Callithrix jacchus: one gene and its partner. The protein of the gene in region 1 interacts with the protein of each later gene in a pairwise test. Links are inferred from orthologs where the notes say so. Each region holds a gene or a part of one and is shown on either strand. Other genes may lie near its edges.

Region 1 (4,393 bases):
TTCGGGACCCTCCCGGATGTGCGCGGGGGAGTCACTCCTCCAGGGAGCAGTGCGGACCGTGCCCTGTACGAGCTGAAGGGATTCCCCTCCCCCAATTCTCCATCTTTCCCCACCCCTTCCAGATGTAGGGGGGGTGGGGAATCCCCTCCGCGAAAGGCCTCGAGGGTCAGCGCTCTCCCACGATCCCCTCCCACGCCCCCGAGAAGTGCAGCTAGCACACCCCTCCTTCCAGATGTGCGGGAGCCTGAGCCCCGCCCCCTCCTCCCGCTCCCGCACTGACCTCTCTTCCGCTCCCGCTTGTCCTGCAACTGCTTCTTCTTCTGCTTCACGCTGAAGGGCTTCTTCCTCGGCATGGCCCGGACCAGTCACCTGGCCCGCCCTCCACCGAGCTCCCGCCGCCTCAACTAACTGCCCCCGGGGCAGCCCCCGCCGCAGGGGCCCGGGACCCTAGAGGAGGCGGGGCTAGCAGGTGACGTCAGCGGGCGGGCCCGACCGAATTGCCGCGGCGGCCGCGATGGAAGACGACCGAGGGAGATATACAGTCACTTCCCTCCAGGAGCTAGGCGAGAGGATGATGCGGGGTGGGCTACTGGCACGTGAGAGCCAGTGGCACCGAGAGGGCGCCCCGGCGGCGGCGAAGGAGGCGCGCGTGGGAGGACCGGGCTAACTCCGTCACGGACGCTACCAACTTGCGTTCGGAGAAGGGGGGATGCGTGTCATCACTACTTTGCGCTCCCGGGAGAAGCTACCACTCACCTGGAGGGGGCGGTGGAGTGGAGGGCGGGGCCTACTACCTAGGGGAGAGGAGGCGTGGACTCGCTGAGACTACAAAACCAACCCTCGGGCTAGACCTTACTGGAAAACCGAGACTGTGCGTCCCGGGTAAGAAGCCAGGTTGCTGAGCTACACCGGGGGCACGATCAGAGGTCTTTAGGGGAGGGCGGCGGTCTGAAGAGTCCTGGGTGCCGACCTGCTGGGACCCAAATTCCTTGTGAGAACGATGATAAGTAGCAGGTTTACAGATGAGTGCAAAAGGGGACGAGAAGGGAAACCCAAACGGCACAAGGACTTTGGAGGGAGGTCAGAGGGCACGAAGTTGTGCCTGCAGCTGTTACCATAGTAACCGGGGACCGGATGTGGCGATCTTACGGTGCGACAGTCCTCTTCTCAGGCCTTCTGGCCAGAGAGCCTCTTGACTCTGTGGCACACTCCGAGGAGCTGGTTGTGGTGGTTTCCAACGAGGGAAGAAGAGAGGAATTTTTTTCAAAGCAGTTATAGAAACGCAGCAAAGGGAAGGTGTGAGGTTGCCACCATGCCTAGCAGAGACGGACAGAGGCAGTTTACTCCAGAATGCGGCCGCTGCAGATGTTCCCCGCAACGTTCCGGAAATGGAATGGCGGGAGCCTCATCCTCGCTGCCCACCGCCCCGCCGGAAGCGGAAACAGAATCCCCGTGTGCCCCTTCCTCACTGCCCTCCAAATCCCGCTGCAGCCATTGCGGCAGCCACGATGCCGAAACGAAAGAAGCAGAATCAGCACCAGCCACCATCACAGCAGCAGCCCCCACTGCCCGAGCGGGAAGATACTGGAGATGAGGAGGATGGGAGTCCCATCGGTGAGGGGTCGGGGAGGGACGTGCACATGCCTGTCAGCCCGTCCGGGCGAGGGGCTAGGGGCTGGTAAGGTGCAAAGGAGGGGGCTGTAACGGAAGGAGGAAGGGCGCACGCGCTGGGGAGGAATGGAAGGGGCTGTCCCAAATGGAGCCTTGAACGAGGAGTTCTCTTACTGGAACCATCAACCTCAAACTGGCCCCAAACCTTTCTGGAGAAGGCGGGGGTGGCGAGAATAAAGAGCTCTTTTGCGCAGTCGCAGAACAATAGGGGAAAGGGACAGTAGAGATGTTGCAGATTGTGATGACTGGGATGACAGTTTGTATCCAGACTGACTGAAGAGGTGCAGGTGCAGCTTTCTCTGAACTAGTCCTCTGGCCAAGGGGAAGGAGAAGAGAATTGACTGGCCAGCAGTTGAGGGATTGGTTTATGTCTGGAGACACTTGGATTGTTTTGGATAGCGACGGTACGGTGAGGAAAAGAAAAAGTTTTGTCTTTTCCTGCATTATCCCCTTTGATTGAATATCTACTCTTTGCAAACCCGAAACAGCTTTGCAGAAAAAAGCGCAGGTAGATGGGGTGAGAACTCCTAAGACTGCTGAAAATATACCTGACTTTACTGGTTGAATTAAGAAATGAGTAATAGAAGAAAAACACCTAAGAACAGAATCATCAGTCCCTTAATCCATTCTGATGACCGTATTTTCATGTCTGCTCTTAGGACCACCCAGCCTTCTGGGCCCTCCCCCCATGGCCAATGGAAAACCTGGTGACCCTAAGTCAGGTGAGGAGGAAGGGGCCCTGATCCTTGTATTAGGTCGTGGAGAAGAGAGCAAGGGAGGGGATAAAACCCAGAAAGGACTTAAAAATCAAAAGATCAGGGATTCCATACCTAAATGAATGGAGAAAAGTTGTATATTTGCTGATTGAAAAACTCGATGTTGTTAAAATGTCACTTCTTCCCAAACTGATGTATAGATTTCATGCATTCCAAGCCAGAATATCTACAGTGTTTTTGTAGAAATACACATTTTTATAGGGAAATGCAAAATATCAAGGTGAGAGACTGTCAAGATGATCTTGAAGTGGGAAGGCTTGCTATGAATATCAAGATTTGTAAGCTGGGCATGGTGTCACATGCCTATAGTCCTAGCTACTCAGGAGACTGAAGTGGGAGGATCGTTTGAGGCCAGCCTGGGCTACATAGTGAGACCCTGTCTCTAAAAACAAGAGAAAAAGACTATAAAGCTATAATAGTTACAACGATGCAGTTTGGACACAATTATAGACATAAGTCAACAGGACTTAGGTCCTGAAGACTCCAATAACAGACCCATACATGTGTGGACACTTCCTTTATGATGAAGATGGAACTGAAAAGTTGGTCTTTTCAATAAATGATACTGGATCACTTGGATATTCATGTAAAAAAATGGAATTTCACCTTGCACTCATAATCATATATAAAGATCTATTTCAAATGGACTGTAGATTTAAGTATAAAAGGTAAGAGAGGCCAGGTGCGGTGGCTCACACCTGTATTCCCAGCACTTTGGCGGGCCGAGGCGGGCAGATCACCTGAGGTTGGGAGTTTGAGACCAGCCCGACCAACATGGAGAAACCCTGTCTCTACTAAAAATACAAAATTAGCAGGGCATGGTGGCACATATTCCCAGCTACTCAGGAGGCTGAGGCAGGAGAATCACTTGAACCCGGGAGGCAGAGGTTGCAGTGAGCCAAGATTGCACCACTTGCACTCCAGCCTGGGCAACAAGAGCAAAACTCCATCTCTAAAAAAATTAATAAATAAAAGGTAAGAGAATAATTATTCTAGACAATAAATGGGCTGGGTGCAATAGCTCATGCCTGTAATCCTAGCACTTTGGGAGGCCGAGGTGGTGGATCACCTGAGGTCAGGAGTTCAAGACCAGCCTGGCCAACGTGGTGAAACCCCACCTTTTAAAAAAAAAAAAAGAAAGTAAATGTATTTTCATGCTCTAAGAGTTCTTAAACAGACCAGAAATGCCCATATACATACTAACCATAAAGGAAAGATTGGTAAATTGAACTGTTAGAAAATATAAACTTGCTAAATGACACCATCAAGAAATTAACAGGAAACCATACAGTAGAAGATAATGGCAACAAATATAACCAATAGGCGGGGCGTGGTGGCTCACACCTGTAATCCAAGCACTTTGGAGGCCAAGATGGTCGGGAGTTCAAGACCAGCCTGACCAACATGGTGAAACCCCGTCTTTTTAAAAAAAAAAATACATATATATATATATAACCAATAAAGAGCCTGTATCTATAATACATAAATAACCTTTCCAGACAAGCTATTTGAAAAACTGACAAAAGACCAGAACAGTTACCTTATTAAAATGCAGATATAAACTAATGATCTAAATGAATAAGCATCAACATCATTAATAAATGCAAGACAAAAATATACCACTTTGAAATTAGAACTCTTGGCCAGGTGTGGTGGCTCACACCTGTAATCCCAACACTTTGGGAGGCTAAGAAAGGTGGATCACCTGAGGTCAGGAGTTTGAGACCAGCCTGGCTAACACAGTGAAACCCTGTCTCTGCTGGAAATACAAAAATTAGCCTTGAACCCAGGAGACAAAGGTTTTTTTTTGTTGTTGTTGTTGTTGTTTTATTTATTTTATATTTTTATTTATCCCTGTAATCCCAGCTACTTGTGGGGCTGAGGTAGGAGAATCACTTGAACCCAGGAGGTAGAGGTTGCAGGAGGTGGAGATCATGCCATTGCAC
Region 2 (4,549 bases), about 90 Mb from region 1:
TTCTACAAAAAACTAAAAAATTAGCCTGATATGGTGGTACATTGACCGTCTTCTCAGCTACTCAGGAGGCTGAGGTGGGAGGACTGATTGAGATTGTAGGGAGCTGTGTTTGCACCACTGCACTCCACCCAGCCTGAGTGACACAGTGAGACCCTGTCTCATTTAAAAGAAAAATTTTTTCTATAGTTTAAGAATTTTTTTTTAAAAAAACTATAATATAAAAGTATGGAACCTATAAGAAACCTTTGCTAAGTAAACTCATTTCCTAAATCCACATAGCCTCTAGGTGGAGTACACAGTCATGGCCCCTTTTTGAAAGATTCCTTTGCAGCTTTGGCATGACTCAGCTTAAAATATTTTTTAAAATACTAAATACTCAGTAATGGTGCCTTGGAAGTGAAATATACCATTGGAAATAAGCATATTCTTGACACCAGTACTGTAAAACCCTGATGTGATTCAGCTGGGTTCTGAATGGATCCCACTTAAAAATGGAACATGTTTTGGCTTCTATGAATGGCTGGTTTCATCTATAACGACATCCTGAGTCATCTATCTTCTTTGTTCAGAGCTGACTCCTAAAATGGAAGGCATCACTTGAGAAATACCTGTAATTTGAAGAACTTCTGGTGGTATATTTGAAGAACACTGTGGTATAATTTGGAATGGACTGACCAATGATTTTTCTTTTGTCTGTTTTTATATGCAATTGGCAATAAAAAAGAAAAATTTACTGACTGTTGGGTGTGAAAAATGGTGCTGGTAGCTGCAATGCTTATATTAATAGTAGTATCGTAAGAGAATAATCAGATGACTTCAGAGTAATACGAAAAATACCCCTTAATGTTATCAATGGCCTATTTGAAATTATTTTAATAAATGAATTATCTTTTAAAATTTGCCCTATATGTGTATTTATGCTCTGCATAGGTCTTAAAAAACAGAGGCACACATGTTAAAGTAATAATTGTGATTACCTAAAGGAGTGAGATAGGGGAAGGTATTTAACACAGAGAACTGTTAACTTTATATATGCCTGTACAACTTTCTATAAGTTTATTACAATGAACATATATTGTTTTTATAAAGTTAACAACTCACATAAGATATATACATTTTAGAGATTAAAAACTAGTTTTTAAAATGAAAATAGTTTTACATGCTATGATTAGCCAAATCTTCAATGCATTTTAAAAATATACTTCTAATTCAAAGATGTCCCTCATCGATGAAGTTAAACTTTTTCCCCTTCAAAACTGGCAAATTAAGCACTGAATTACTTTAGTAAAATAAAAGCAAGGATAATTGTCGTTTTAGCTTTCTAAATATTACTACACATATTTTAAAATACGTATTTTTAAGACCTTGAAACATGTAGAAAAAAATATAAAGAATTCTTGGACTAAGTATTTTACCTTAATTTTCTAGCCTACGTTTGTGTTTCATGTTCAGGGTGTGTTGTGTATCTGGATGTGGAGTTATTTTAGATTTCAACACGTCCTTGAAGAAAGTCTTAAAGACTATTTAGAAGGCAAAGATTAAGTCCTGAAATTATTTAAGTATCCAATTTCTGCTCTTAGGTTAAATGTAACTTCCTAGCTCAGCTCTTATTTCTCTTCCTGAGATTAGCTTTTCGTCATTAGGGGAAAGGAGTCCACGTTGGTTGGGGAGCCTGCGCGCCAGCATCCCGGCGCATCCCGGGCGCCGGCCGAGGAGGACCGGCCGAACAGGACCCGCGGCCCCCGGGGAACGCCGGCGCCCAGCCCGCGGCGCGGAGGGGCCGAGCCTGTGCCCGCCTCCCCTGCTGGTTGGTCGAGGGAGCCAGAAATCAGCGCGAGGACAGCCTCGCTCTCCTCTCTGAAGCGGCCGGGCATGGCCAGCCCGGAGAGTGAGGCGACTCCACTGTGAGCTCTAGAGAGTTGACTACCTGCCTTTCGCCAGGGGCTGGAGGGCAGGCGGGCGGCGGGGCAAGAGAAGGCGCCGTGCGCCGGGGTCGCTGGCCCAATTCTCGACTCGGGGTAAGATGGCTCCGCTCCGAACTCGCCGGCGCTACTACACGCACAGCCTCTCCCTTCCCAGCCTCCGTGCCCAAGCCCGGAGGGTCGTGGAGGCTGGTCGTGGAGCCAGCCCCGCGCGACCCCCGGCGGCGCCGCGGGCGCGAGTGCCGGTCTCCGAGCTGCCCGCTCGCAGACAAAGCTGACAACATGGCTACCTCCGCTCCTCGGCTCAAACAAGTTCCTCGCAAGTTGAGCCCGGCAGACGCCTGGGCTGCGGCGGAACGCCGCGCGCGCCTCGGCTGCCGTCGTCCATCAACTTCAAGTTTCCCTCCGCAGAGGAGCCCGCGGCCGCCCGGCGCCGAGCACGGCCGCCCAGCGCGAGGCCGGGCCCGGGAAACTTTCAACGTCTGCAGCCCGCAACTGACAGCCCGGGTGCGCGGGCGCCGCACTCACCTTCAGACAGGTCCTCGATGCACTCGAAGGTGATCTCGAACTGGAACGGGTTGTAGAAAGGAGAAGGATTATCCAGCACCACTACATTGTTCACCTGAACCTTTGCCATATTTTGAAAAAAACACAAACAATGGGAACTGGGGCTGGTTGCGGCACAATAAAGTCCAGCGCGCGGCCGCCCGGGAGAGCGCAGACCCCCGCCCCAGCGCCGGCCCGACGTCGTGCAGCGGCGACTTGAGAAACTTTTTTTTCCCTCTTTTTATTTACACGGGAACACTCCACAGTGTTTTGCAGCTTTCCTATTTCACTAAACTACAGCCCATTCTGCTCTGATAAGTAGCAGCGTTGCCCTCGATTGGCTGCACCCGAGCTCTGACCCTCCTCCTCCAGCGAGTGCCTCGGCAGCCAGCAAGATGGGCTCCCGCTCCCGGAATGGACTCGGAAACTTTAACTGCGGCTCCACCTGCTGGTGTGGATTAGGACAAAGGCGGAGAACAAAGTGAGTGGAATAAGGGCTGGGAGGCCCGCGCGGAGGCCGCCGCCGGCGTCGCGGAGAGAGGCGAGGGGCGTGGCCGCGGCGGGGAGGCGTGGCCGTGGCGGGAGGGCGCGATCCGGGCGACGCCCGCCCCTCTAGTTGGTTTCGTGTGAGGTGTTTTGGCGTTTTTTGTTTTTTGGTTTTTTGTTTTAACGCTTTTTTTTCTTTTTTTTTTTTTTTTACATCGGTGCAAAGGCTCTGACGGCCTTGCTGAATTTAGCAGATGAGAGTCCGTGTTTACACTGGGTTAGGTTCAGCTTTCTGTGTATCGGGTAGTATTTGGAGTAGAGAGAATGATTAGCTGCAGTGGAAATAAATTGCATGTTAAAGACCGATGTCGGCTCGAAAGGAGCAAAGCCATTTTGGAAATCTAGCTCTTGGCCAGTATCTACGTTTGGGCACGACAGCGCCGTTAAGCAGACACAAAATGAAGGGCGAGGAATGATTTTCCACACACTGTGCTTGGAAAATCTAAATAGGTAACCTTTGGGCTTGCACCTGGGCGTCGTCTTCCGAGTCCAGATCTGGAAAGTCCTAGAATAAGAAAAGAATCACAAGCGATGTGATTAGTTATACCCCAGGTTACAGCCATTTGGAGAGAACAGAAAATGGAAGTGTCAGGAGACCAACAGGGCAACAAACATAACAGATGGGAAAAGAACACAAAGGCATAGCAAGACATTTGATCTTCAAAAAAAAATTCTTGACCTAAACCGTTAGTAAATAAAAATTTGTAGCACAGCAAGCAAATTCTCAGGAGCCCTTGCTTGCCTGTAACCAGTTCGGGTTTGAACTGAGGAAACGTTGATTCGTTTATGCGGCTTGACTACCATTGCAGGGAAAGAGGAAGCTTTAACATGTCTGTGAGCCTAAACCGTTTCTATTTAGTAAGTGATGTAAAGGGTTGTTTTATTACCTGCTATCCATAAACCATCACTTTTTTCCTTAAATGTTGTGAATGAAACCACCAAACTTGGCCAAATTCAGAGAGAAAAATTCTTAAGTATCTGTTTTGGAAGAATTTTCTCTTAGTATAGTGCCCAGAATTTTGATTTGTCATTCTTTGGGCATTGTTCGTACTTAAGTAGGTGCCTTTTAATGAAACGTTTTCATCTGATGGTCTTTTGAAAGTTAATGTGAGACAGCTAATATCAGCGCCTCTTACATTTAGGAAAACCATGTCAGAGTGGGGAAGAGTTCCTTTTTTGTCAGTGGATTGAACAGTTAGATATAGGACCTACCAGAAAAGACCTTCAAACCCAGTTGTTTGTGACATTAGAGTATTAAGAGTCAAACCATGGGGATAGACGCAGATTTCTGTGACTGATAAACAATACACTCTTCATTCTTATTAGGGCTGGTCCTAACACTAGCTACGATAAAGTGGAAATTGCTGTATGCTGTAAGACACTATTTTATGTAAGATAAAATGACCATTTGAAGATTGAAACTCCTGTGAGACTAGTGTATGCAGTTGTCTGATTATTACAGGTACTCTTGAGAATCTAGTTACTCTCATAAAAATGACATTTTGTGCTTGTTAAAATCAGGTGCATTTTGCAGT

The links.
Region 2: the proteins of PRR3 (region 1) and ASF1A interact in binary tests that used the Homo sapiens proteins (3 or more experiments, as listed by UniProt). The two-hybrid records come from large-scale screens. The link is inferred for Callithrix jacchus from reciprocal best matches to the Homo sapiens genes PRR3 and ASF1A.

Annotation. Positions count from the first base shown.
Region 1 is NC_133505.1:35,351,175-35,355,567, forward strand, and holds the start of PRR3 (proline-rich protein 3), read left to right. Parts: upstream 1-1,467; 5' UTR 1,468-1,508; coding exon 1,509-1,614; intron 1,615-2,330; coding exon 2,331-2,393; intron 2,394-4,393. Other genes in the region: GNL1 (guanine nucleotide-binding protein-like 1), read right to left, coding at 281-353.
Region 2 is NC_133505.1:125,224,598-125,229,146, reverse strand, and holds the start of ASF1A (histone chaperone ASF1A), read right to left. Parts: upstream 2,808-4,549; 5' UTR 2,560-2,807; coding exon 2,451-2,559; intron 898-2,450; exon of another isoform or gene 602-897; coding exon of another isoform or gene 570-601; intron 1-569. UniProt on the Homo sapiens protein: Histone chaperone that facilitates histone deposition and histone exchange and removal during nucleosome assembly and disassembly.